Macaca mulatta: one gene and its partners. The protein of the gene in region 1 purifies or fractionates together with the protein of each later gene. This does not show direct contact. Links are inferred from orthologs where the notes say so. Each region holds a gene or a part of one and is shown in the gene's direction. Other genes may lie near its edges. The genes, in order: YAP1, DDX17, CREB1, USP9X, PDLIM7, PARP1 and PALS1.

Region 1 (3,500 bases):
GATGAATTTTTAATTACATTTTTATATTTCATAAGAAGTAATGAATTTACATCATTCACACTTCAGAAGTTATAAATAAGGTTCTCCAGCTTTGTCCTTTAGTCAGCTAGTTTCTCATCTCTGGAACCAAAAGATGTTAGTTGCTTCTTAGCTATTCATCAATTTTTATATTCTCTGAATATGCAATATATATTCACTCCCACTCCCTCCCCTCTTTTTTTAACACTTTACCTTGCTTTTAATTTAGTAAGTCCTTAGAAACTATTCCTTATCATCATTGCCTGTTAAAACTACCTCTTGTTTCTTTTCTCTTATGACTTCCTTGTATCTTGTGACAACAGTAATAATAATGTAGTCATTGTAATATTGATGGATTTTTAGGTTATTTCCAGTCTTCTTGCCCAGAAAAGCTACATTGAATATCCCAAATTGCTTTTGAATAATTAAATTATCATTTTCTCTTCCTTCGCTAGTTTTTTAGGACAGATTTTTTTTTTTCTTTTCATTTCAGCCATGAACCAGAGAATCAGTCAGAGTGCTCCAGTGAAACAACCACCACCCCTGGCTCCCCAGAGCCCACAGGGAGGCGTCATGGGTGGCAGCAGCTCCAACCAGCAGCAACAGATGCGACTGCAGCAGCTCCAGATGGAGAAGGAGAGACTGCGGCTGAAACAACAAGAACTGCTTCGGCAGGTGAGGCCACAGGTTAGAAACCAGCCTTCCACTTTTTGGGGTTTGTTTTCTTAAAGTTGGGCAGATTGCATTTTAACATTTATTAGTTACAGAGGAATGTTGTCTTTGTAAAACTGAGCGACACAGAAGCATTCTATCCAGCCCTGTCCTTGTCTTAGTTTCGTGACTGTGAATGGCCTTTGATCAGGTTTCAAGGGATGTGACTTGGAAACCTGTATCGTGAAGAGCTGTTTTGGTCATGGTCATTGCAATTGAGCAAGAAGTGAAGGAAGCAAGGATGCTTTCTCTAACCTACATAGAATTATGGATTGCTGTTTTTCTGAGGATTTCACTAAAGGGGAAATTCTAGAACATCACTTGGGAGAAAATATCCTTTATTAATAACTTATGTGGTGGGATACACCAATATGACATTTCTCAAATGAAATATACTTCAGTATTACCGAATCTAAGAATTTTCATTTAAAACAAAATAAATATTACCTTTGGCCAGGTGCGGTGGCTCACGCCTGTAATCCCAGCACTTTGGGAGGCCAGAGTGGGCAGATCACTTGAGGCCAGGAGTTCAAGGCCAGCCTGGACAACTTAGCGAAACCCCATCTCTACTAAAAATATAAAAATTAGCCAAGTGTGGTGGCGCACACCTGTAATCCCAGCTACTCGGGAGGTTGAGGCACAAGAATCACTTGAGCCTCAGAGGCAGAGGTTCAGTGAGCCAAGATTATGCCACTGCGCTCGAGCCTGGGTGACAGAGCGTGACTCTGTCTCAAAAATAAAAAAGTTATCTTCAAGTTTAGAAGATGCCAGTGTGCTTTAAAATGACCTGCTTATGGATGTTTTTTTATGTTGGGAAAAGTAGGACATAGCAGTAGAGAGCTTGAAGCCCTTTAATCACCATTTCTATCAGCTTTCTTCTAGAAGGTACTGTTGGTCTTTATGTTCCTCATATATATAATTAATGTCAACATTAATTTTTACTTATTTCAGAGTGGTTAAATCTAAGTTCAGATATTGGGGATAAGGTCTTTTGTTAAGTAGTGTAGATATTTTTTAAATTTCTATATAAAATTTTTTTGAATAGATAATAGAAACAAGGTATAATAGTGATAAATGTACAAAAGGTGAAAGTAGACTCAAAATAAGAGCTTTTCCCTGTTTTTCTGGTTCTCTCCTATGGGGCCTGAATAACTATGAGTTTCTTAGGTTTTTTGTTCATTTTTCCAGAGATACTCTGTTTACATACATAAAATACATGTATCTATGCTGTTTTTTCCCCACCTAAATCACAGCATGCTAAGTATAAACATTTAAAAATCATCATACTTGGTCAGGCATGGTGGCTCATGGTGGCCCATGCCTCTAATCCCAGCACTTTGGGAGACTGAGGCAGGAGGCTTCCTTGAGCCCAGGAGTTTGAAACCAGCCTGGGCAACATGGTGTAAGACCCTGTCTCTAAAAAAAAAAAAAAAAAAAAAAAAAACACAACTCTACATTTCCGTTACCAGGAAGTAGGCACTTAAAGGTCTGTTTTTTTTTTGTTTTTTTTTTGTTTTTTTAGGGCTATATTTTAAAAGTATCTCTTGAGTGTCAGTAAAAATATATGAACTCAGTACTACCTGAACTCTGATTTGGGGTTTGAGGAACTGGTATTTAAGGAGTTAAATTAAGCCATGGCTTCTGAGACAGGCTCACTTTTAAACTGTGCTTTGTCGGTAATCTGTCCATCTAGTGTGATTGGCATCAAAGGTAAACCCTGATAGAAGGAGTAAGACAGTATGTGCCAACATATGATGTCAGGAACTTGTTGGGGCTCAGAAAATGATGCTACAAAATATGATTCTTTGACAGACTAAACTAAGGAAGCAGCCTCAAGTTCTCTCCCAAAGCACAGGATGAGGCTGTTCTTTGAAGTTCCTTTATCTACCTAGAAACCAGACCCCCCAAAAAGGAATACAATTGCCGTTGATCCCCTCCCCAAAATTTCATTAACCAGAGAAGACTGAAACTTGTATGACAGAGGAAAAGACTAAAAATTAAATATCACACCTAGAAAGCTCAGAGGAACTTTGCCCAGACTATTGTCTGTTCTCAGATCCCATTCAGTTTCCAAAGAGAATTATTTACTAACCATTGTCTGAGCACTGGGCCCATTCATTCTTCCTACGAATCATTTACTGCCCTTCAAAATGGCCTCATTTCCCTCATGTTCCCTTCCCCTGTGAAGAAAGGTATTATATAGTATTTGGAACTTAGTTATTGGGTAATCATTCTCTTGCAATTTCCCCCATACTTGGGTACTTTAAATAAATTTGTATGCCCTTTTCTCCAATTAATTTGTCTATTAGTTCATTTTCAGCGAACCTTTAGAGGGCAGAGGGGAAGTTTTCCTTTTGGCCCCTATAAAGTGATCTTGAAAGAAATGTTTCTTTATCTGACATAAAAAAGATGGAGAAAGGAAGCATTATTGTACCTCTGACTTTCTAACAAATTACCATAAAGAAGATGTTTCACCTGCTATTGTTAGAACACGGTAGAACCATCAAAAATATAATTATGTGGCTAATAGAAAAAAATAAAGCAATTTAAAAATGTTTTATGTAACCTATTTTCATTGTTTTTCATTTTGTTGTTACCGAGTAGTAGTTGTTCTGAGTAAATACAGGTCTCAATTTCACTATGAATAAAAACTGTCAAAATCAAAAAACTAAAAAACAGTTCTTTAATTACTAATGTTAAAATCATACTGTTTTTAAGATAATTTGTAAAGTCTAGAAATGGGGCCATTCGCCATTTTGTTTTATGCCATA
Region 2 (3,500 bases), on another chromosome or scaffold:
TGGTATATGATACCTTGATTTTTGTATTATTTGGCCAGATTGTACACAGTTTTGTCAGATTACATGTAAATTTTCATTGTTTTTGCCTTATCTACCTGGTGAAGTGCTTAAACTAGAGGTCAGGAATGTGTCCTTCTGCCAGTTTTGTGACTTCTAGTTTAAGTCAGGTTGACCATCCAAAATTTCAAATTTTAGGCCAGGCACAATGGCTCACACCTGTAATCCCAGCACTTTGGGAGGCCAAAGTGGGCAGATCACGTGAGGTCAGGAATTCGAGACTAGCCTGGCCAACATGGGGAAACCCCATCTCTAGAAAAATACAATAATTAGCTGGGCGTGGTGGCGCATGCCTTCAGTCCCAGCTACTCAGAAGACTGAGGCGCAGGAGAATCATTTGAACCCAGGAGGCAGAGGTTACAATGAGTTGACATTGCACCACTGCCCTCCAGCCTGGGCGATAGAGTGAGACAAAACAAAACAAATCCAAATTTTGAGGACCAATATGATTCTCAAAGTAATGCTGGAACATTTTGGTTTTTCGGGTTTAGGATGCTCAACCTGTAAATGAGAATTGTATACTTAAAATCAGGTAATACAATCTGTATACGTACTTAAAAGTACATATAAACTATAATGATTTGATAATGTGTCATAGTAAAAGTGACGAGGATACCAGTATCATTCCAAATGCTAAATATGAAGTTCTAATAATTTCTTCTACATTCCATTGTACTAATATTCCCTCCTTCTGATCTTCACCCCATCACTTTTAATGTACTAGATTAGACAACAAAGATTTTTGGTTTTTTTGTTTGTTTTTAAACCTTGGGTGGGGTCTCAAATGTCTTTTTGTTGATTTCAGTGTCTAGTTCTGGCTCCTACCAGAGAACTTGCCCAGCAAGTACAGCAGGTGGCCGATGACTATGGCAAATGTTCTAGATTGAAGAGTACTTGTATTTATGGAGGTGCTCCTAAAGGTCCCCAGATTCGAGACTTGGAAAGAGGTAATAAAATAATATCGTGTAAAAGAATTGTTAGTTTATCTTTACCAATTCCTGTGGATGAAATTGGAGAAAAAAGTGGGTTCTTGTGAAAAACTGAGAATTTCAACAGCTTAGAAATTCTCACATGTGACCAAAATAACTATTTTGTTAGAGAAAGTTCAACATGACTGGAAACTTTGTGAGGATTTGGTGATTGTACATAAATCCCGACATCATGCTTTTGCAGGTACTTTGTTAAAATTTAGCTTCTCTGCAGCATTGAGTACAGCCACCAGGGCTGGTGCTGCTGCGTTTTTGTAGAGTCGGGGTCTTGCTATGTTGACCAGGCTGGTTGTGAACTCCCGGCTTCAAGCTATCTTCGCGCCTCCACTTCCCGAAGTGCTGGAATACAGGTGTGAGCACTGCACCTAGCTGATTTGCTGGATCATTGGTTTTGTTTTACAGGTGTTGAGATCTGCATAGCCACTCCTGGACGTCTGATAGATTTCCTGGAGTCAGGAAAGACAAATCTTCGCCGATGTACTTACCTTGTGTTGGATGAAGCTGACAGAATGCTTGATATGGGATTTGAACCCCAGATCCGTAAAATTGTTGACCAAATCAGGGTGCGTAAAACTAATAATAAGCAGTCTTTATGCCATTTGTCCAAGCTCCTTAGCCTGAAAGAAAGCCTTTCCTTTTTTGATAGCCTGATAGGCAGACGTTGATGTGGAGCGCAACCTGGCCAAAAGAAGTAAGACAGCTTGCAGAGGATTTCCTTCGTGATTACACCCAGATCAACGTAGGCAATCTGGAGTTGAGTGCCAACCACAACATCCTCCAGATAGTGGATGTCTGCATGGAAAGTGAAAAAGACCACAAGTATGAAAGAGATTTTACTCTCTGATTTGATAATACCAATAAACCTTTTCTATTAATAACCCTCCAAAATCAGTATTACAGAAACCAGTATATTTTGAGGCCTGAAAGCATTAAAAGCATTGCTAACTTTCTGATAATCCATCTTTATGTCATTTGTCAGAGCATTATGGTTAAATGCAAGGATTCTGAATTCTTGAGTTTGAATCTCAGCTCTGCTGATTACCAGCTGTATAATTTTGCACAATTTTATGTCTTGGTGCCGCAGTTTCTTCATCTGGGACATGGGAATAATACCACTCACTTGAGACTTGCTGTGAGGATGGTATGAGTGGTATGAATTAGTATTTCTTGAGCACATAGCAGAACCTGACTCAGGACTCCATATTAATGTTGGTTTAAAATTTTAAAAACGTAATGTGCAAAGAAAGTACTATAGCTTTGGGAGTTGATATTGTAGACATAATCTTCCACATAATAGATACTTTCTGTGTGATGACTGCATTGTTGGTCTTGTTTTCAGATTGATCCAACTAATGGAAGAAATAATGGCTGAAAAGGAAAACAAAACAATAATATTTGTGGAGACAAAGAGACGCTGTGATGATCTGACTCGAAGGATGCGCAGAGATGGGTGAGTATAGCACCAAGGCAGTTAACCTCTGGTTTTATAGTTAACTGGAAATTTCTAAATTGGTATTCCAAATGCTGTGTAATATTTCAATAATGCCTATCCATGCAGTTTGCTCTTTTAATGAGCACAGTCATCTATTCATGAAGCCTGACAAACCTTAAAAAAATTGCATTATAGCATTTGGCTTTAAAGTTTGATTTTCCCCATTTTAAAATATTTTTTAAATATCGGTTATTTTTCTTTTGATAGTTGGCCAGCTATGTGTATCCATGGAGACAAGAGTCAACCAGAAAGAGATTGGGTACTTAATGGTAAGTTTAAGCATTTTTTGTTGATTTTTTTTTTTTGTCCCCACCATAAGTGAATGTCCATGCTCTATTTCAGGGATAGGCAAACTTTCTGTAAAGGGCCAGATAGTATGCTTGGCTTTGTAAACCAAATGGTGGTCTCTGTTATAGCCACTCAGCGCTGCTGTTTTAGGACAAAAGCTGTAGGCCATAGATAATATGTAAAGAAATGGCCTACACTGGGCACTGTTGGCGGCTCATGCCTATAATCCCAACACTTTGGGAGGCCGAGGTGCATGGATCACCTGATCCCAGGAGTTCAAGACCAGTCTGGGCAACATAGTGAAGTACTGTCTCTTTAAAAAAAAAAAAAAAAAAAAAAAAGGCAAAACAAAACTTAGCCAAGCTTGGTGGTGCACGCCTGTAACCCCAGCTACTCCGGAGATTGAGGTGGGAGGATTGCTTGAGTCTAGGAGACAGAGGTTGGAGTGAGCCAAAATCGTGCCACTGCACTCCAGCCTGGGTAACAGAGTGGGACCATGTCTCAGAGATAACATGGCTGTGTTCCAACAATATTTATTTGCAAAAGTGGGTGTTGTGCCACATGTGGCCCAAAGGCCTGTTTGTCTTGCCCCTGCTGTATAGTTAATTGAATTACTGAGGGCACTTTTAGTATGTGCTCATGGTCCATGATGCTGGCTCTTTCAACTTTGTCAC
Region 3 (3,500 bases), on another chromosome or scaffold:
ACAGGGGTGAGCCACCACACCAGTTCTCACAAACCTTTTGAGGTAGAAAATATTACCATGTCTTTTTTACAGTCAGAAAATTAAGATTTAAGTAACAAGATTGTGGCCCTTGACCACACAGAGCTAAAAAAATAATTTAGTGGTTTAGTTTGAGTAACTTGCTAAAGAACAATTTTTAATTATTTTTAATCTATGTTAGATTTTTTAAATAATATTATTTTTAATCATGGTAAAAAATATAACAAAATTTACCATCTTCATCAGTTTTAAGTATACAGTTCAGTCGTGTTAAGTACATTCACATTGTGGTGCAGCAGATTTCCAGAACTTGTTCATCTTGCAAAACTGAAACTCTATACCCATTAAACAACAACTCCCCATTTCCTCATTCCCCCAAGCCCCTGGCAGCCACCAATCTAAGTCCTGTTTCTATGAATATCATTGACTTTAGATGCCTCATAAGAGAAATTACACAATATTTGTCTTTTTGAGACTAGCTTGTGTTAGCATAATGCCCTCAAGGTTCATCTGTGTTTTAGCATGCAGAGGGCCTTCCTAAGTCTGAATAATATTAATATTACATTGTATGTATATACCACATTTTGCTTACCACTCATCTGCTGATGGACATTTGGGCTGCTTCCACCTCTTGGCTATTGTGAATAATGCTGCAATGAACACAGGTGTTGAGACCTTGTTTTCAATTCTTTTGGATATGTAGGAAAAAGTAGAATTGCTGGATCATATGGTAAATTTTGTTTTTAATTTTTTGAGGAACCTCCATTCCATTTTCCATAGCAGCTGCACCATTTTACATTCCCACCGACAGTATGCAAGAGTTCCAGTTTCCTCACATCCTCATCAACAACTGGTATTTTCTGCTGGTGGTGGTTTTTGATAGTAGCCATCCTAATGGTTGTGAGGTGATAACTAGTGGTTTTGATTTGCATTTCCCTAATGATTTGTGATGTTGAGCATCTTTTTTTTTCCCCCCCTGAGATGGAGTCTTGCTCTGTTGCCCAGGCTAGAGTGCAGTGGCGCAATCTCGGCTTACTGCAACCTCTACCTCCCGGGTTTAAGCGATTCTCCTGCCTCAGCCTCCCAAGTAGCTGGGACTGCAGGCACCCGCCACCATGCCCAGCTAATTTTTGTATTTTTAGTAGAGATGGGGTTTCACCATGTTGGCCAGGCTGGTCTTGAACTGACCTCGTGATCCACTCGCCTCAGCCTCCCAAAGTGCTGGGATTACAGGCATGAGCCACCGCGCCCGGTCTATGTTGAGCATCTTTTTATAGGCCATTTATATATCTCTGGAGAAATCTATGTTCAAGTCCCTATGCCCATTTTTTAAATTGGGTTATTTTGCTGTTGAGTTCAAAAGTTCGTTATATATTCTAGATCTTTTTTTTTTTTCCTTTATTTTGAGACAGCGTTTTACTAGCTGTCTCCCAAGCTGTGGTATAGCAGCATGATCATGGCTTACTGCAGCCTCGACCTCCCGGCCTCCAACCTCAGCTTCCTGAGTAGCTGAGACTACAGGCACACACCACCTAACTAATTTTTAATTGAGACAGGGTCTTGGTTTGTCGCCCAGGCTGGAATGCAGGTGGCAGGATCATGGCTCACTGCAACCTAAGACCTCCTGGGCTCAAGCAGTCCTCCTACCTCAGCTTCCTGAGCAGCTGGGACTACAGGCATGTGCCACCACACCTGGCTAGATTTTTTAAATATTTTTTATAGAGATAGGGTCTCACTATATTGCCCAGGCTGGTCTTGAACACATGGGTTCAAGAGATTTCTCGCACCTCAGCCTCCCAAAGTGCTGTGATTATAGGCATGAGCCGTACACCTTGCCTATTCTATATCTTAACCCCTTAGCAGATACATGATTTGCAGATATTTCTTCTCATTCTGTAGGTTGCCTTTTTACTATTTATTGTGTCTTTTGATATGCAGAAGTTTCCTAGTTTGATATAGCCCTATTTGTCTATTTTGCTTTTGTTACCTCTGCTTTTGGTATTGTATTTAAGACATCACTGCCAAATCCAATGTCAGAGAGGTTTTCTTCTAGAAGTTTTATAGTTTTAGGTCTTATGTTTAGGTCTTTGATCTATTTTGAGTTAATATTTGTGTATGACATAAGGTGAAGTCCAACCTCATTCTTTTGCAGTGGATATCCAGGTTTCCCAGCACCATTTATTGAAGAGACTGTTAGATTTTTTAAATGCCCTGAAATGATTAGTTTGTAAGATTTTCTATTTAAAGGATTGTTACACATTGAAATTTAGCTTTAATGTTTTCTTAGTTGTTGATATGGATAGAATTTCAAGTTTTGCAGGAATTATGCAGAATATCTTAATAGTGAGAGGTATAATTTTTAAGTGGTCATTTAGGTCTTATTTGTTTATGGAGTTGTTTGTTTGTTTGTTTTGAGACGGAGTCTTACTCTTGTCACTCAGGCTGGAGTGCAGTGGCGCAATCTCAGCGCACTACAGCCTCTGCCTCCCAGGTTCAAGCGATGCCCGCACCTCAGCCTTCCAAGTAGCTGGGACTACAGGCACATGCTGCTAATTTTTGTATTTTTAGTAGAGAGGGGTTTCGCCATGTTGGCCAGGCTGATCTTGACCTCCTGACCTCAGGTGATCCCCCTCTGCCTTGGCCCCCCAAAGTGCTGGGATTACAGGCGTGAGCTACAACGCCTGGCCAGATTAAAATTTTTAATATAAGGTAATTTCCAAGTCATTCTGTATATCTTTTCCAATTCTTAATATATACTAAAATGTTGGTTGCTGTGAGCTATTTCTTTAAAAAAGAAAAAAAAAAAGGTAATCCAAAATAAATATGTGGAAATCATTTGCATTATTTTTCCCATCTTTTGCTTGTAGGGAAGCAGCTCGAGAGTGTCGTAGAAAGAAGAAAGAATATGTGAAATGTTTAGAAAACAGAGTGGCAGTGCTTGAAAATCAAAACAAGACATTGATTGAGGAGCTAAAAGCACTTAAGGACCTTTACTGCCACAAATCAGATTAATTTGGGATTTAAATTTTCACCTGTTAAGGTGGAAAATGGACTGGCTTGGCCACAACCTGAAAGACAAAATAAACATTTTATTTTCTAAACATTTCTTTTTTTCTATGCGCAAAACTGCCTGAAAGCAACTACAGAATTTCATTCATTTGTGCTTTTGCATTAAACTGTGAATGTTCCAACACCTGCCTCCACTTCTCCCCTCAAGAAATTTTCAACGCCAGGAATCATGAAGAGACTTCTGCTTTTCAACCCCCACCCTCCTCAAGAAGTAATAATTTGTTTACTTGTAAATTGATGGGAGAAATGAGGAAAAGAAAATCTTTTTTAAAATGATTTCAAGGTTTGTGCTGAGCTCCTTGATTGCCTTAGGGACAGAATTACCCCAGCCTCTTGAGCTGAAGTAATGTGTGGGCCGCATGCATAAAGTAAGTAAGGTGCAATGAAGAAGTGTTGATTGCCAAATTGACATG
Region 4 (4,285 bases), on another chromosome or scaffold:
CTATAACTGATGTTTAAATATTGATCTTATATCCTGCAGTTTCCAGAACTTGCTTATTGGCTTTATTAGGTTTTTTTTATAGTGGATTTCCCAAGATTTTCTATATATAAAATCATGTTATGTGAAAGTAGCGATAGTTTAATTGTTCCTTTCTTATCTGGATGTCTTTCATTTCTTTTTCAGGCTAGAACTGCAAGTACAATATTGAACAGAATTGGTGAGAGGGGACAATCCTTGTTAAAGGTGCACTTTTGATAGGGTTAAAAGACCAGTGTTCAACACTTTCCAATCCTGACCTTGGGCAAATCATTTACCCTTTCTGTTTCCTTATCTAAAATCGAAGATAACAGCCTACAGTGTACACGGGTGGTCGTGTCTACTTTTTAGAAGCCCATGAGCTAGTGGGTAAGCAAATGATTCATGGAAATAATTACAAAAACAAGGTAACATATGCTAAGAGTTATTAGGGCTATGAATGATGTATCTTGGATACCCTATTAGGTAATTTTGTGGTGAAAAATTTGTAAACAATCTAGTGCTAAATAGAGAAATGGTTTAAAAATTTAAGATACCAATAACTTGCTTTCACTGTCACCTAAATTAGTTTGGTTCCATTTTTAACAGTCTTTTATTACAAACTGATATAATCATAGCATAACTAAATTCAACCCTGTTCTCTATAAAATAGATCTCGTTTTGTAAGGTTTTACTATGATTTTGCATGCCATTTGATGTCCACAGGTAGTTTTAAGTCAAAAGGAAATCTGTAAATTAGGAACTGTTAATTTCCTCTTCATTTGGGCATCCTAGGCAGACTGTATAGAATTGTTCCAAGCACCCCATTAATTTGAGATTAGCCTAAGTTTTTCCTACGCCTGCACTTTGGAATATAAACATGTAGAAAATAGTCCATGACACAGCGGATGGGTTCATAAGTTTCTTCCGGGTTCTAACACCGAATCGTGCTGATGATCTGGCAATGGAGGCTAATCTTGCCATATCAAGTACGGCCTATTCGCTAAGCCGTCTGGGGTACTTTATAATTTTTTTCTTTCCTGGTCTGTTTGAAGGGCTCCTATAGCCAACAAGGTTGTCAGTCCCGTCAGTTACGCTGTGAGGACGCCTAAACGCTTTCAAGTACTGATGCTGCGCGATCGTGTGAAAGTGTTTCCCAGAGCACCTCCCTCGCGGGGTGGGGAAAAGGACCTCACTCCCCACGCCCCCTCCTTCCGCTGCAGGAGATAGCCACACCTTCCCCCTATCGGCGCCAAGCAGGTGGCCAGGCCCTCGGGACCTCGCGCCCCCGCAGCCCAGTGGCCCGGCCAGCTCGTGCGTCACGTGACGCGGGTCAGCTGCGCCGCCGGGACCTCCAGGCACCGCGGCGGCGACAGCCCAGCGCGTGGTCTCGGGATCTCATCTTTCCGCGCCCCTCCCCCCACGATCCCGGAAAAGGGGGAGGCCGGTGACGTCATCATCCGGGTTCTTGTCGGTGGGGCCACGGTTCACAATGGAACAAAAACAAGCGGCCAGAGTCAAACTATGAGCGACGCGGCTGCGGCTCACGCGATTAACCCCGTCGTGACCGCACACCCCGCCAGTCCCTGCCGCCCAGCCCCTCCGGCGTGGTGTGCCAGATCTTTTCGGGCCTCCCTTCCCCAACTTCGGTCCTAGAGCCACCTCTGCCCTCGTCCCGCTCCTGAGCCGAGGGGCATGGAACAGGATTTCTGGCGGTAGCACGACCCTGAAGGGGCCAGCCGGAAGAAACGGTACTGCGCGAACAATCTTTACCGCATTGTCTTCCCCTCCCCCACCCTAGCTCTCCGGGTTCCCAGCGGCTCGCGCCCAAGCCCGGCCCCCTCGGCGGCTCGCGCTGCTCTCCCAGCCTTGACGGTCCGGGGTGGAGGCGGGAGAAGAGGGGGCAGCTGAGCGGGAGGGGGCTGGGCAGGAGCAGGGGGAGGCCCGAAAGGAGGGGCCTGAGAGGGGCGGGGTCTGACGGGGGCGGAGAACTTCGGGTCTTGGGCGGCTCTGGGGCTAGTGGGAGTCTGCGCCGCCGCCGCCACCGCTGCTGCCGCCGCCGTCGCCGCTACCGCCGCCGCCACTGGCCGAGCGGTTTTTTTTTTTTTTTGGTTTGCCGGATCCGCCATATTGACGAGGACGGGCATCCGCGGCTGCGGACGCTAGTCTCCGCCGCCGCCGGAGCCGCAACCTCTCCGCACCCGGCCCCGTCAGGGCCTCTGCCGCGCCGAGCCCCTCCCCGCCTTGCACAGCTCCCGGGCCTCGCGGGAGCCCTCCGCCGCCGCCTCTCTCTCGCGGGAGGCGGCCGCCTTAGCGCCCGGTGCTTGGGTCGGCGCCGGGAGCTAGGAGAGAGCTGTTGCAAAGCAACCAGGCCCGGAACGGGGACAGAGGCGGCGACTAGGGGAAGGTGAAGCCGTCGCTGCAGGAGGAGGAGCAGGAGGAGGTGACGCAGGAGAAACGCACCGCCCGGAGCCCGTCTGAGCTCAGCGAGAGCCCCAGCCTGAGGGGAGAAGGGGGAAGAGGGCCGTAGCCGGCCAAGGAGGAGGAGGAGGCGGGCGCGGCGAGAAGCGAGTTCCGGCGCCGGGTGTGCAGCCTTTTGGTTGAGACGCCCTCAGCCCCGAGCCCGGCCGCCGCAGCCTTTCAATACACTTTGTTGCCGGTCACCCACGGGCCTGGGATGCACCCAGGGTAGGTCTTGTCCCGAGACCGAGCCCCAGCGTCGCCTGCTGCCTCCCGCCTCCACGTGCCCTGGTTCTGAGAAGACGTCTGTGTCGTGCGGTGAGTGGCCAGCTGCACCGGGGCGACGCGCCTTCCCGGGGCCAACAGCTGGATGTGGGTGAGGGGAGGAGGGCGAGGGGGGTGTGCGTGTGTGTGAGCTTCTTCCCTCGGCGGCTGCCGGCCGGGCCGGGGCTTCCCCGTTCCCCCTCCTCCGGCCCGGGCTGGGCGGGCGCGCGGGGCCGTGTTGTGTGTGGAGCCGGTGTCCCGAGAGCGTGTCTTGTGTGTTTTGGACTGTAAGGGAAAATGGCTGACGGCTCCGTCCCTCCCCCTCCTCCCCCTTCCCGTCCTGTCTGGGGCCGAGTAGGAGGATGGAGTCTCCGGGCGTGGCGGGCAGCCCCCCCGCCGTCCGCACCCGGGGCCCGGGTCGGTTTGGGGGCTGGCCGCCCCCGGCCCGGCGGCCGCTTTCCTGCCCGGTCTGGTTCCACTTGACACCAAACGCCATTACTGAGGTGGAGTGATTTGGAGTCGGGGAGCTAGGCCTCGGCTACGCCTGGCTATCAGGCCTGACGACTTGTCCGCCTCCCCCCACCCTCCCGCGATAACCCGCAGTTTCTCCCCGGCCCTGGGCTCCTGGAGTCGGAGCTGGGTTATCGGCCTCCTACACTTCCTTAACCCCGCTTAATTTGCAGAGGGCCAAAGCCGTGAAAGGGGTTTTTGAGTGCAGAAATCGCTTCCAAGCTAGCTTGGACCTATTATCTTTCTATTTTTAACTGTTTCTGCAAATATTAGCATGTGCGAGTTTATTAGTGATCAGATCTTCAGATTCTTGTGACGTGAGGCTTAGGGTTGGATAAATGGCTGATTTTTCATTCATTGTGAAATAAGTTACAGAGTTATATAGAGCAGGTGTATAGATGGCTTCTTCAATTATTTGTGTGGATTTCTGTAGCGACTAGAACTTACACGAGAATTTGCAAAATTTCTAGTAGAACCTGCTTAAATTAAGCATGTTATTTTTTGGAAGTTCCATAGTTATAACGTTAATTGAATTTACACGGTGTAGTTTACAGGTGTATATAATTGTTTCAGATTGTCTTTTAGTTTAAGCAAGTTGTAGGTATAGATTATTCATACTTTATTTTTCGGCGAGAGAAGTGTGTGTGCCGCTCTTTTACCTGGAAACCCATGAGTCCCTGAATCTACCTAACGTATGTATACTTTCACTTTTGAGGGGAATAATTTGGGGTGCATTGATTAGGAAACTTTCCAGCAGGTACTTAACCCTCTCGGAGCTAATTACCCTTAGGTAACTCCTTCACCATGACTAGCTTGGCTGGTTAGTACACTTGAACTTAAAAATAGAGACTACAAACTCTCCTTTAGATCTCGCTGGTCTTCTAATTCGCTGGGCTGCCATTTTGGTTTCAGCAAATGCCTTCAAATTCTTGAAGAATTATGTATTAAATATAAAAAATGTCAACATTCTTTTTCTCAATTTTTAAACTAATGTGCTGTGTCATACATCTAACTTTAACCCTTTAAACTTTATCGT
Region 5 (4,205 bases), on another chromosome or scaffold:
TTCCTGGGGAGAGGTCAGGCTGGCCATGAAACATGAGATGCCTTGGCATACAGGTGGTATTGAAAGCCACAGGACGGTACCGGGTCTTAGGGGGTGAGAATAAAGAGAGATGGCATCAGACGGCCAAAGCCAGAGGCAGAGGAGGATGGGGAGGAGGGGCCAGTGGGGCAGGGAGAAGCTGTGAAGTCAGGGAAAAAGGGTGTTTCGGGGGACGAGAATCCACCCGGACCCATGCTGCCCCTAGGAGGGGCAGGATGAAACTGAACCACCACGGATTCCATGGCCCGATGGCCTCCAGGTCACAGGTGACCTTGAGAAGAAAGATCTCAGGGGACCGGTGCGGACAAGAGCCTGCCTGGCATGGCTTCAAGAGATAACTGAAGGAAAGCAAGTGGAGACGCGATAAACAGACAACTCCCTGGAGGAATTTGACTTTCAAGAGCAGAATTAAAGGCTAGTAGTTGGAGAGGGATGTGGGGTCAAGAGAAGGTCTTTAACGATGAGAACTCTCACAGCGTTTTATGCAGAAGAGGGTGGGTGTGATGACTGTGGATGGAGAGGGGAGAACTGCAGCAACCATGTCCTAGGAGGAGCTGACCGGCCGGGACCACCAAGCGAGTGGAGGGTGGACGCCCCTTCCCTCACCCCGACACCCGCATGCTCTCAGTGTCCGCGCCGCGGGCCCTAGTGCCCGGGCTGAACGCGGGGCCGGGACTCTGAGGACGCCTCCCACGGGGCGCAGTCCGCTCTGGCCAAGGTGGAGCGGGACGCGGCGCTTCCGACGGTGTGCGGGTCGGGTCGGGGTTGTAGGGATGCGAGCGAGGGCAAGGCCCGAAGGCCAGGGACCCCCGGCGTCCGCTCCTGCCCTGTGTTCCTGCCTTCGGTAGAGCGTTGCGCAAATCAAGCTTTAAACGCCCCTGTCCCCCTCAACTTCCCCACCTTATCTCCTCCCAGGCCCTCTGATTTAGAAATCCTGCAGCCCCCGATGGTTGCACCTACGATACCGACCCTCGCAGCAGCCCTGCGAGGCGAGTATGATCGTCCCATTTTTCGGAGTAGCAAACTAAGGTTCAGAGACGACTAGGGCCCAGGTCGGTCTGGTTTGCAGGTCCGCTTTCCCCTCCCTCCGCCAGCGGGCGGTGCGGGGACTGGGCGAGGCAGCTCCTCCCTAATGAGGCGACCCGCAGCCCCGGCCCCGCCCCGACTCCGCCCCACTGCAGGGCCCGGGTCGGGGAGGCCTCTCAGCTCGCAGCCCGACGGGACGTGGTGATTGGGCGGGACGGAAGAGCTGGGTGGCGCTTTCCACCAACGGAGATCGTCTAGTGGGCGTGGTCACGACGAGGGCGTGGCCGTGTGCCCCGCCCCCTTCCGCGCGCTCAAAGTGGAGGGTGACTGCGGGGGCGGGGTCAGAACACTGGCGGCCGATCCCAACGCGGCTCCCTGGAGCCCGACGCCGAGCAGCGCACTGGCGGGGCCGAGCAGGTATCGACGACCGCGCGGGGCGTCTTGGGCTGGACCAGGCGGGCGCCTGGGGCCTGCTGAGGACCACAAAGGGCACTGGGGGTCGCGGTCCAGGCTGTGCTTCCTCCCGCGGGCCCTTGCCCCTGCCTCCGCCCCCGCCCCCGCCTTCCTGCCGCGAAGCCGGCTGCGGCGGGGCCGATTGGCGCCTGCGCTGCTTCCTGCGGCCGGGGCCAGTCTAATGCATGGGGCCCGGACGGGGGACTAGGGGGAAACTGAGTCACGTCGGTGTGGGAGCAGTTCTGTGTGGGAGGCACCATCCCCATTGGGCTCCGGGAAGGATCCCCCTCCAAGCTATGCTTTAGGGTCCCAGCCCCCACCTGTCTCCACAGGGGCCGCACCCCACTCCCGCCTTCCCCTTCTTCAGCACCCAGGGGTCCCGCCCTGGCTCCCAGCAGCCTCGACTGGTCCCGGAATGGCTGGGAGGATCCGCTGCAGCCGCCTCCCTCCCCTCCCCCTCGTGTCCCAAGCCCCCGTGTGCTCCCTGCGCTGGCTCTCCGCACAGTGTCAGCTTACACGCCTTATATAGTCCGAGCAGGCTCCAGCCGCGGCCTGCCTGCCGGGACCTGGGGGCGGGGGAGAGGAGAGCCGGCCCCTGACTCACCCGGCCGCCCGAGGCTCCAGGCTGGCTTGCGGGGAGGCCGCGCCAGTTTAGTCCCTCGGCCCACCCCTGGTTGAAAAGAACCTCCACTCTGGATTCAGGCACCCCTCACAGTTCCAGTCCCAAGGGGAGGGAGGCTGTTCCTGTCTTTCCAAAGTGAGGTCCGCCAGCAGCCCAGCCCAGCCTGACAAAATACCTGCCTACTATGGCTTGCGTGTGCTCAGGGGCTGCCCGTGCCTGCCTGGCCCCTGTCCAAGCCTGGTATCTTGAGTTGGGCCGGCCGGCCTGCCTGCTTGCCTGCCTGCCCACCATGCTGGCCACTCACCTCTTCTCTCCTCTCCTCTCAGGAGCCGGCATCATGGATTCCTTCAAGGTAGTGCTGGAGGGGCCGGCACCTTGGGGCTTCCGGCTGCAAGGGGGCAAGGACTTCAATGTGCCCCTCTCCATTTCCCGGGTGAGCCTAGGTTTGGGGAGGGGGCTCCCCCAGCGGTCTTTGGGTGCTCAGGTCTCCAGAGGGTGATGGGGGAGTCCTAACAGGAGCTGGTCAGGGGCTAGCAGGCCAGGAGATGTCCAGGTCCGAGATGTAGTGGTACCTGCCCGCTGCAATGACTCCCAATGAGGTGGATACTGGGAGGGAGCACCCAGGCTTCCCCAGTCCTGCACTGTACCGGATGCTGTTCTCCCAAGCTCCTGTGGCCACTTCTGAGGGCGGGAGGGAGGATCATTGTGCAGGATGGGAGCCTGACATTTCCAGGAGGTATCTAAACTTGAGGTGGCAATGCTTGGAGCCAGGCCCCAGGCAGGGCACTGTGACTGTAGGATTTCACTTCAGACACACTTCTGCCCAGGGAATAGCAGTCCTCATCCTGTTTTTCCAGATGAGAGAAGAACTCATGAAGAGGTGGAGGGGCTCGCTCATCGAGTCCATGTTGAAGCAGGGATTGGAATTGAAGCGCGGGATGGTGTGCATTTGTTGTGGGTGGAAGGGGTCTCTCCCCAGCCTATGTAAGGACCTGCATCCACCATTCCCATTCAGGACGTGGTGGCCTTTGACCCCAAGCAGAAGTGCAGGACAGGGCTCCTCTCTAGGGGCTTAACTTCAGCTTCCAAGAGCCTGCCCTGGTGGGGGTGGAGCTGAAGGCTGGCTCCTCCCTGTAGCAGGGGGATTGCCTTATAAGCCCAAGAATGCGGCCCCACGCTGGGATGGCCAACAGTGGCTGCAGTCTGCAAAGCTGAAAAGGGCTGGCCTAGGCCTGGCCCCCTGAACCCCACTGCTGGGCCCCTCAGCTGGTCATCAGGCTGCAGCTCCAGCTGTATGGTCCAGTTGTGAGACACAACAAATTGCCTGCCCAGAGTGGGTGAGGCCAACCTGTGGGCTGGCATCTCTGACTGGCCTGGGGGTCAGCAGGGGGTGGGGACTTCCTGCCCCTATATCCGCCTGCCCAGAGAGGCCCACCCAGGCGATGGGTGGGCAGGCAGCTGTTGTCAGGAAGCCCAGGGCAAGCCCAGCCTGGAAGGGCCCAGAGGGTTGTGGCCTGAGGAGGGCGTCAAGGTGGAGTCTGTCTGTAGGAGTTGGGCATGGGGGTTAGGGTAGGCTCTTCCCAGGGGTCCTTCCACGGTGTTCTCCGGGAACCTGCCCCACCAGCAGGGTAGTGAGGGCAGTGGTCGCCCTACCACACACATCCTCCTACACAGTCCTCACACAGCTCTGAAAACCCACCCGGCGTCCTGCCCCTTGGGAAAGTGCTGGCCCAATGCGTCTGGGGACCCTGAACCTCAGTTTCTTCCCTGATGGAGATGACTTTCAGATATGGCCTGTTGGGGGCACTCCAAGCTCCAGCTCCCTGGTCAGCATCCCCGGCATGTGGGTGGGGCCACTAGCTGATCCCAGCCCTGGAGTTGGACCTGGGCCCACATGGGTGGGTGAGGTGGGCTTTTCTGAGTTAGGCCAGTCCCCTCCCCCTCCCCTGACCCCAGGATGGAGGGAGATGGGAGGGGTGAGGGCTGGCCGTGGGCCCAGGCCTGGGAGATGAGGTAACGTCTGGGACTGGGGGGTTGGGCTGCTCAGGCTGACTCACCCCCACCT
Region 6 (3,500 bases), on another chromosome or scaffold:
CACGTCTCCATTCCTGGTGTCCCGGCGTATGCTGTGTGCAACGGAGAGGAGATGTCGAGGGAGCCCTTAAAAATGAAGCTGGGAAATGGAGCAGACGTGTGTGCCTGCAGCTTCACCAGGGGAGTTAAAATCCTCCTTTGGTACTAACAGCAACCCTATAGGATATGATAGGGCTGGCGTTTTTGTCTCCATTTTACAGAGGTGGAATCTGAGCAGAGATGGTTAATAACTTGCTTATTTTCCTGGGGAAGGAGGAGACTCCCTCAGACTTTAAAATGGAGAGGCTGATAGCTTCCTCAGCAAGCTTGATTGTTGTGAGAATAAATGAGATGAGGCCAGGCGCAGTGGCTCGCGCCTGTAATCCCAGCAATTTGGGAGGCTGAGGCAGGCGGATCACTTGAGGCCAGGAGTTTGAGACTAGCCTGGCCAACATGGTGAAACACCATTTCTATTAAAAATACAAAAATTAGCTGGGCGTGGTGTTGCACACCTGTAATCCCAGCCACTCAGGACACAGAGGCAGGAGAATTGCTTGAACCCAGAAGGTGGAGGTTGCAGTGAGCTGAGATCTCACCACTGCACTCCAGCCTGGGTGACAGAGTGAGACTCCATCTCAAAGAAAAAGAATAAGTGAGATGACACGTAAAAGCATCCAACCAAGAGTAGTCACTTTAATAAAGATTAAAACTTCCATTTTCAGAAGAGTTTAAATACATTGCTCTGTGATACTGAATATAATATACCATCAAGGAAATTAGTGTTTGTGAATCATTCCTACTCTAAGATTGGTGGAGAACAGCCATACCCTGCCTCCTCTAGTTGCTGATAAACGTGGGCCCTGGGCTCAGCCTAGCACTTCCAGGCTCTTACCTTGTGTCTCTGGGGATTGGTTTCTGAGAGTTGGTTCCAGGAGCCTTGGTGCAATCTCCCCCAAACCCTTAGGGCCTCCTCCTCACCTTCCACAGTATTCTCTGAGAGACCACACAGCAGGCTTAATTTGGTGTCCACAGGAGCATGACCAGGAGTCAAATCCTGTGCTGATCACCCAGGTTTGGAGTGGCAGCTTGCTGGTGCACCAGGGTATAACTGGAGGCTCAGCTTGACCGGGGCTCCTCCTCCAGTTGAATTCTTCCTTTGAAAAGAGCTGGCCTCTCAGCCACTGGGTCTTGTCCATAGGCTCAGAACGACCTGATCTGGAACATCAAGGATGAGCTAAAGAAAGTGTGTTCGACTAATGACCTGAAGGAGCTACTCATCTTCAACAAGCAGCAAGTGCCTTCTGGGGAGTCGGCGGTGAGCTGCCTTTGTGTTAAGTGGGACACGCATGTGAGGCTGACCCCGTCGTTGTGGAGTGACTGTCCCAATGGAGTGTGGGAGGCCCTCCGTGTGAACACCTGCTGGTATTAATTGCAAGGAGTATAAATCGTGGTTGTGTTGCACGGTCATCACCACCATCGTGGTCACCATTTTTCTGGGATGGATGGGGCCGGCATTCACATGCCCCACTAGACATCTTCCACATGTTAGTGCTTGTTCTAGAGTGCCAGGCCTGTGGAGTGAAGAGCCCCCTCCTGAGGGATGGCATGACGGCGTCCCATCAGTGTCCCCAGCTGGCCCTTCTCTGCTGTCATTCTTGGGAGTTGACTTGGCACTGTACTTTGTGCAATGCCAGTGGATGCTCTGGGCTCTCCCTTCATTTCTCAATCACTGAGGGATGGGGGAGCTGCAGGAACACTTGGAAATAAGGTCTCCTACTTTACAAGAATCCAAGCTCCTTTGTAAACGAAGGGCGGGGTGGGGTGTTAAGAGCCCCACAGCAAGCCCACAGCAAGAAGTCTCTTTGTAGAGAGTGAAATCTGTGCAAGTCCCTCCATCCCACATTAGTAAGTGTCCTTTTCTGTAGTCCCGCATTTGCCCTCTGATGTGTTTCTCCACTGGCTGCAGATCTTGGACCGAGTAGCCGATGGCATGGCGTTCGGTGCCCTCCTTCCCTGCAAGGAATGCTCGGGTCAGCTGGTCTTCAAGAGTGATGCTTATTACTGCACTGGGGACGTCACTGCCTGGACCAAGTGTATGGTCAAGACACAGACACCCAACCGGAAGGAGTGGGTAACCCCAAAGGTAAGGGGTGGGGGAAGATCCTGGGATCTGTTGGGAGAAAAACCTGGCCCCACTTTCTGCGCTTGTTCATACTTCAGGTCCCTGAGATTGCAGGGCCTTGTTCCTCAGACTTCTTTACAGCTATGTCATCCTGTTAACCAGAATATAAAATTATATGTTTGCAAACTACACGAATGTAGAACCAAAGCTCCTCTAAGTATGAACTGTCCATTTGGTGTAAAATGTTGCTTGCAAAGACCATAAATAATTTTTATTTATTGAATGCCTTCTATGTGCCAGGCACAGTTCTAGGCTTGAGGGACATATGGGGAAGAAATGGATAGTAATTCTTGCTTTCTGATACAAGTTTTTTTCAAGGACGTTTCCTTGCCTAGTGCCAGCAGAAGAATTGGATCCAAAGTTCACATATCTCCTAGTATTGCACGTTCTCTCTTTTTTTAATGGAACTGCTTATGGAATTCTCAACGCAAAATACCTCCACGGGGAACCCCCTTTGGAGCCATGCTGGTGGGGTTCTGGCAGTATCTTTGTGGGGCTGGCTGCTCCAAGGACCTCGCCTGTGCCCGCTCAGACTCAGCAGGATCCAGGCCCAGCAGCCTGGGTAGGTGCAGAGCTCTGCCACTCGCCAAGCTGCTTCCCTCGCTGTTGCCTGCTCCTAGGTGGAGCATTTGGAACAGCGGCACACAGTACACCCTCAGGAATCGTTACCCGAGTAACAGTCGACATTACTTGCTCTACACCTACAACTGAACTCCATTTCCACCAGCTCCTGACTCACTTGTTCACTGCCATGATTGCATGATCCCCCCTAATTTTCTCTGTATGCCTTTACTTGAGTGCTTCCTGTAAAATAAATCTGAGCTTAGCACTTCCCCACCCTTAAAATCTTATACTGATTCCCCGATTTTTCTGGGTATGCAAATCTTCCAGACCCTTATGTGGTATTTGTATTTCTTTTACTATCTTCGATGGGGAAATAGTAAGATGGCAGTAAGCAATGTGCTATCCCTTGTATTTTATATATCAATTTTTGAGCATGTATATACATTTTTAAAGGTTATGTGCATGTGTGAGACAAGTTTTCAGTCTGGCACTACTTGCTGCCCATGCAGTGACACTGTTGCCTCCAGGCACTTGTCCCACAGAATCAAGGCCAGCTCCGTAGCTTGTCCTCAGAGCCCTCTGTGATGCGGCTCTGCTGGCCATCTGCAGCCTCTTTCTGCCACCCTTTTCCTCCTTCTCACATACCCTTCTCCCCACCCCACCGCCAGTCTTGCTCATTCTTTTTAGAAGTACCTAGCAATAGGGCACATGTGCTACTCAGATGGCTGTGCTTAGGCAGTCCCCTGTGTTTTCAGCTCCCAGTGGGCTTAGCAGAT
Region 7 (4,266 bases), on another chromosome or scaffold:
AGCCTGGACAAAAGAGCAAAACCCCCTCTCAAACAAAAACAAAAACAAACGAACTTAGAAAAGGAAGTAAGTCAAACACACTAACCGTTTTTTTCCTTTTGGGGTATGGCTAATAGTTTCTAGGAATCCTGGAGACTTTATCTGGATTTCAGTTAGGCATTTCGCCAGTTCTGGCATCTTTGTGGAGGAATATGGGCCAAGAAGACAGTTCGGTTGTGTCGTCCATCTGTATTCGAAGCCTACTGAGAAATTTTTTGATGACAGGAGCATTAAGGTCTTTAGTGGCATACAGCAGACTTCTGTCCTCAGCTCTGTCTTATTAAACACTTGGACAGAATGCTTATCAGATTTGAGAGGGATAACAAATCTGGGAAGGGTAGGCATCCCCAAAGATCTTCACCACCACGAACAATAGTTTGCTTCGTTCAGAGCATCACAGTGTCCTTAGTGAGGGACACTAACAATCCATAGGCTGTCCAGAGGAGCGTAATGGGGAAGAATGTGAAAGAACTTGAAAGTCAGGACCTGAGGACGTTGCGAGATGGAAAAACACAGTGGGACAAAATGAGGAAAACCGAGAGAAATGGAAATGGCATATACGAAGGCTTTGAGGGAGGACTATGCCCCCTGGGGGAAACCGTACACCTCGGCTGGAATCATAAGCATATTTTGGCCTCATAGAAGGAGAGGTCGATTAACAAACCTTGCAAGGGTTCAAAGGTGGGATGGGCTTCCTCGGAAGGTACTGTCAAGACAGAGACCATCCGAGGGCTTTTATTGCAAGTGTCGAGACACATTTGCTGGTATTTCTCCTTAGAACGTACTCCAATCTGCTCTGACTTCCGCCCGCACCCGCCAGAGCCCTGCCCCATTCCAAGGGTGGCACATCCAGGTCCCGAGGGCGCCAGCCATGCCCGGGACATGGGCTGGTCTGCGTAACTCTCTGTCCCTTCGGGAGACTTCTGGGAAATAGTTCTAGTCCTTGCCATCCTTGCTTTCTGGTTTTCAGAAGTCAGTGCTGCTGGTGGCTTTCTGGAGTCTTCTGTGGAACACTGCACACATCCAGGTGTTTACGTCATTTTTTTTAAAAAAAGAAATGTTAGATTGTGAGACTAACTAGACAGGACATGAGGAATCTCTTCAGGAGGACTCGGATTTTCTTCAGGAGCCGTCATCCAGAGACAGAACAGCCAAGGGATGTAGAAACCCAGGGAAGCCTCGCGTCCCCACACAGCCCGCGGGCCAAACCCCGAAGCGGCTCCGCAGGGACAGCCAGCTCCTAGCAGCCCGGGTTTTAGACTTAGAGGCGCGCGACTGCGCGCACCCGGCGGGAGCTGTGGAGAGGACCAATGACCGGGCGCTCTCTCCGCGCCGGCTCGGGATTGGGCGAGCCGCGCCAGCCTCTCACGGGCGGGGTGGGACTGGGATCCGCGCGCCCGCTGCGCCAGAGTCCCGGGGGCGCGTGCGCGGTCTCGCGGCGGCCGCAGGGGCCGGTCTCGCGCGGTCTAGAAGTGGAGTTGCTGGCGGCTGCGGCGGCGACGGCGGCGACGGAGGAGGTTGGCGGTGGGGCGGGGGCGGGGACTAAGGATTCTGAGGTGGGGAGTCGGGAGTTTCTGGATTCTTTATCCGGTATTTTAAGGGCCGCCGGAGAGCTGTCGCTTCTGCAGTGCTTAGGAGCAGCCGGGCGGGAGGCTCCGCGGAGCCGAGGCGCGGAGGTAAGAGGTGGTTCGGCGGCGGCTGGGCTGTGGAGATCTTAATCAACAGGTCCCCGGGAGCGCGGCGGGGGAGGGGCGGCCGGGCTCCCCTTCCCCCACACGCCGCTCAAACTCTGGCCAGCGGGAGACCCCGGGCCGCCAGGCGGGCTTCCTCAGGCGCGGCAGCTTCGGCGGTGGAGGGTGTGAGCCCAACCTTTGTCCCTCGGAGCAACGCTGCCTGCGCGGTGCCCGCTCCTTCTGCTTGGCTGGGCATGCACCTTGGCGCGGGCCACAGCCAGCCGGGCCCGAGGTGCAGGGGGCGCGGCGGGGAGTCGTCTGCCCCCTGCGCTCCCGCCCCGATGTCGCGACGCGCGGGACTCCCCCCGGCCGGGTCTGGGAATCCGGCGAGGGAACGCTTTCCTTTAGAAGTCAGAATGTAGTCAGCGTTCCTCTGCCTGACTCAGCTGCTGGTATTCTGCTGCCTATTGCGTTCTTAAACAGGCAAACAGTTCCTGCTTCCTTGTGACCAGTTTTAAAGAAAAGCCTAATTTTGTTGATGGTTTCTGATAATTTAAGGTTGCACGTTGAATTTGAAGCCTGTACATTGTTGTATTCTATGTTTAATGAAGGTTGCTTGAAACGATCTTTGTAGTAAATTATGTAACTTTCTAATGATCATAACTCACCTTCTGTTGATTGACGTACAGTAATGTGTATGGAATGTAAGTTTCGGTCGAAAGGTTTTTCTTGGCAGTTTATGCTAAAATTAAAATCTGATGATTGGGAAGATTTTAGACGTAGTATAGAGTGTGTGTTTTGTCTCCATACTTGTTTAGAATAGTAAAAATTTAGATTCGGAAAGTCAGTTGAACAAAAATTTTGAAATTTTGATTTGACACAGTGAAAGGTGTTAATATTTCCGATTTTTTAAAAAAACAATATCATGTTTTAATGATAGTTTACTAATTATGCTTTTGGATTTTACCAGAAGTTAATAACCTGTTAAATTCTGCAGTAGGAACAAATGACGTGTTGGTTATTGGTGTCTTTAAAGTATTGGTGGTAATGAAACTTATTAAATAAGCGTCCTTGAATTAAGAACTACCGATTTTTTTTTTTTTTTTTACTAGATCCCTGTGGACATAGCGTATTGTGGATAGGTTTTATAGGCTTTCTATTTGCAGTAGGATGAGCTATTAAATTATAATGTAAGAGATTTATAGATAAAAAAGGCAACAGTAGGAAAAGCAATTCATTATTTAATCTTTAAAAATCGAGTAAATTTTACCATGTACCTGAATTACTTTTGGCTAGACGGACTTGAACTTGACAAGTTAAGGTGGATTGATTAACATTAACTTGTTTTAGAATGTTAAAACGGGAGAGAATATATAAGTTCTTCCTGAGGGTGACCCAAGTCAGTACAGTGGATTTAGCTTTTACATGATCTTGAATTATGGTTTTGATTAAAAATCTCATCACGGGGTACATGTTTTCAGGATCTCCTGAGGGCTGTCATGGAAAAAATTTAAAAAATAAAATTTTATCACACATTCCAAGAAACTTGATCAATTTAATAGGTTATACTGAGATGCCCTGTTTCTCTGATATTTTCTGATTTCAGAGTGTCTAGAAAAAATAGTGTCTTGACATATGTGCTTTACAATATAATTTTCTTTTCTTTTTCTTTTTCTTTTTTTTTTTGCGAGACAGAGTCTCGCTGTTGCCCAGGCTGGAGTGCAGTGGCGCGATCTTGGCTCACTGCAGTCTCCATCTCCCGGGTTCAACTGATTCTCCTGCCTCAGCCTTCCAGCTAGCTGGGACTACAGGCGCCTGCCACCACACCCGGCTAATTTTTGTATTTTTAGTAGCGACGGGGTTTCACCTGTTGGCCAGGCTGGCCTCGAACTTCTGACCTCAGGTGATCCACCCGCCTCGGCCTCCCGAAGTGCTGGGATTACAGGCGTGGGCCACCGCCAGAATACACACACACACGCACACACACCCCCCGCCAGAATACACACACACACACACACACACACACACACACACACACACATATATCTCACTCAGGCTGTAGTGCAGTGGCGCGATCCCGACTCACTGCAAGCTCCGCCTCCCGGGTTAAGGCCTTTCTCCTGCCTCAGCCTCCCGAGTAGCTGGGACTACAGGCCCACGCCATCATGCCCACCTAATTTTTTGTATTTTTTTTTTTTTAAGTAGAGACGGGGTTTCACCGTGTTAGCCAGGATGATCTCGATTTCCTGACCTCATGATCCGCCCGCCTCTGCCTCCCAAAGTGCTGGGATTACAGGCGTGAGCCTCCACACCCGGCCTTTATAATTTTTGGTCATATATTTACTGAATCATAGGATCGTTGAGTTAGAAGTAATCTTAACCTCTTCATTTTCCACGAAAAAGACAGTGAGGGTTGAAGGAGTTAAGTAATCCGTAGTCTGACTGCTAGTTAGTGGCAGACTTGGAACTACATGAATGCTAAAATGCTTGTCTCCATATTCTAAGTTCACTGCTCTTCTCAGGATGTCTTATTGTTAAACCAGTAAGTTGCCTT

The links.
Region 2: the proteins of YAP1 (region 1) and DDX17 purify together in Homo sapiens (affinity purification with mass spectrometry; 3 studies listed by BioGRID and IntAct, with this or other methods). This does not show direct contact. The link is inferred for Macaca mulatta from reciprocal best matches to the Homo sapiens genes YAP1 and DDX17.
Region 3: the proteins of YAP1 (region 1) and CREB1 purify together in Homo sapiens (affinity purification with western blotting, with the first as the bait; 3 studies listed by BioGRID). This does not show direct contact. The link is inferred for Macaca mulatta from reciprocal best matches to the Homo sapiens genes YAP1 and CREB1.
Region 4: the proteins of YAP1 (region 1) and USP9X purify together in Homo sapiens (affinity purification with western blotting; 3 studies listed by BioGRID, with this or other methods). This does not show direct contact. The link is inferred for Macaca mulatta from reciprocal best matches to the Homo sapiens genes YAP1 and USP9X.
Region 5: the proteins of YAP1 (region 1) and PDLIM7 purify together in Homo sapiens (affinity purification with mass spectrometry; 3 studies listed by BioGRID and IntAct, with this or other methods). This does not show direct contact. The link is inferred for Macaca mulatta from reciprocal best matches to the Homo sapiens genes YAP1 and PDLIM7.
Region 6: the proteins of YAP1 (region 1) and PARP1 purify together in Homo sapiens (affinity purification with mass spectrometry, with the first as the bait; 3 studies listed by BioGRID). This does not show direct contact. The link is inferred for Macaca mulatta from reciprocal best matches to the Homo sapiens genes YAP1 and PARP1.
Region 7: the proteins of YAP1 (region 1) and PALS1 purify together in Homo sapiens (affinity purification with mass spectrometry; 6 studies listed by BioGRID and IntAct, counting the BioPlex papers as one, with this or other methods). This does not show direct contact. The link is inferred for Macaca mulatta from reciprocal best matches to the Homo sapiens genes YAP1 and PALS1.

What each region holds. Positions count from the first base shown.
Region 1 is NC_133419.1:103,075,980-103,079,479, forward strand, and holds part of YAP1 (transcriptional coactivator YAP1), read left to right. Parts: intron 1-511; coding exon 512-705; intron 706-3,500. UniProt on the Homo sapiens protein: Transcriptional regulator with dual roles as a coactivator and corepressor. Critical downstream regulatory target in the Hippo signaling pathway, crucial for organ size control and tumor suppression by restricting proliferation and promoting apoptosis.
Region 2 is NC_133415.1:13,039,060-13,042,559, forward strand, and holds part of DDX17 (probable ATP-dependent RNA helicase DDX17 precursor), read left to right. Parts: intron 1-862; coding exon 863-1,004; intron 1,005-1,448; coding exon 1,449-1,609; intron 1,610-1,692; coding exon 1,693-1,865; intron 1,866-2,385; coding exon 2,386-2,496; intron 2,497-2,745; coding exon 2,746-2,807; intron 2,808-3,500. UniProt on the Homo sapiens protein: As an RNA helicase, unwinds RNA and alters RNA structures through ATP binding and hydrolysis.
Region 3 is NC_133417.1:112,863,871-112,867,370, forward strand, and holds part of CREB1 (cyclic AMP-responsive element-binding protein 1), read left to right. Parts: intron 1-2,885; coding exon 2,886-3,030; 3' UTR 3,031-3,050; coding exon of another isoform or gene 3,051-3,086; 3' UTR 3,087-3,500.
Region 4 is NC_133426.1:40,965,861-40,970,145, forward strand, and holds the start of USP9X (ubiquitin carboxyl-terminal hydrolase 9X), read left to right. Parts: upstream 1-1,485; 5' UTR 1,486-1,766; intron 1,767-2,126; exon of another isoform or gene 2,127-2,793; intron 2,794-4,285.
Region 5 is NC_133411.1:186,479,743-186,483,947, reverse strand, and holds the start of PDLIM7 (PDZ and LIM domain protein 7), read left to right. Parts: upstream 1-1,405; 5' UTR 1,406-1,482; intron 1,483-1,850; exon of another isoform or gene 1,851-2,280; intron 2,281-2,466; 5' UTR 2,467-2,477; coding exon 2,478-2,573; intron 2,574-4,205. UniProt on the Homo sapiens protein: May function as a scaffold on which the coordinated assembly of proteins can occur. May play a role as an adapter that, via its PDZ domain, localizes LIM-binding proteins to actin filaments of both skeletal muscle and nonmuscle tissues.
Region 6 is NC_133406.1:84,145,320-84,148,819, reverse strand, and holds part of PARP1 (poly [ADP-ribose] polymerase 1), read left to right. Parts: intron 1-1,176; coding exon 1,177-1,293; intron 1,294-1,944; coding exon 1,945-2,121; intron 2,122-3,500. UniProt on the Homo sapiens protein: Poly-ADP-ribosyltransferase that mediates poly-ADP-ribosylation of proteins and plays a key role in DNA repair.
Region 7 is NC_133412.1:140,407,796-140,412,061, forward strand, and holds the start of PALS1 (protein PALS1), read left to right. Parts: upstream 1-1,466; 5' UTR 1,467-1,556; exon of another isoform or gene 1,557-1,715; intron 1,716-2,041; exon of another isoform or gene 2,042-2,164; intron 2,165-4,266. UniProt on the Homo sapiens protein: Plays a role in tight junction biogenesis and in the establishment of cell polarity in epithelial cells.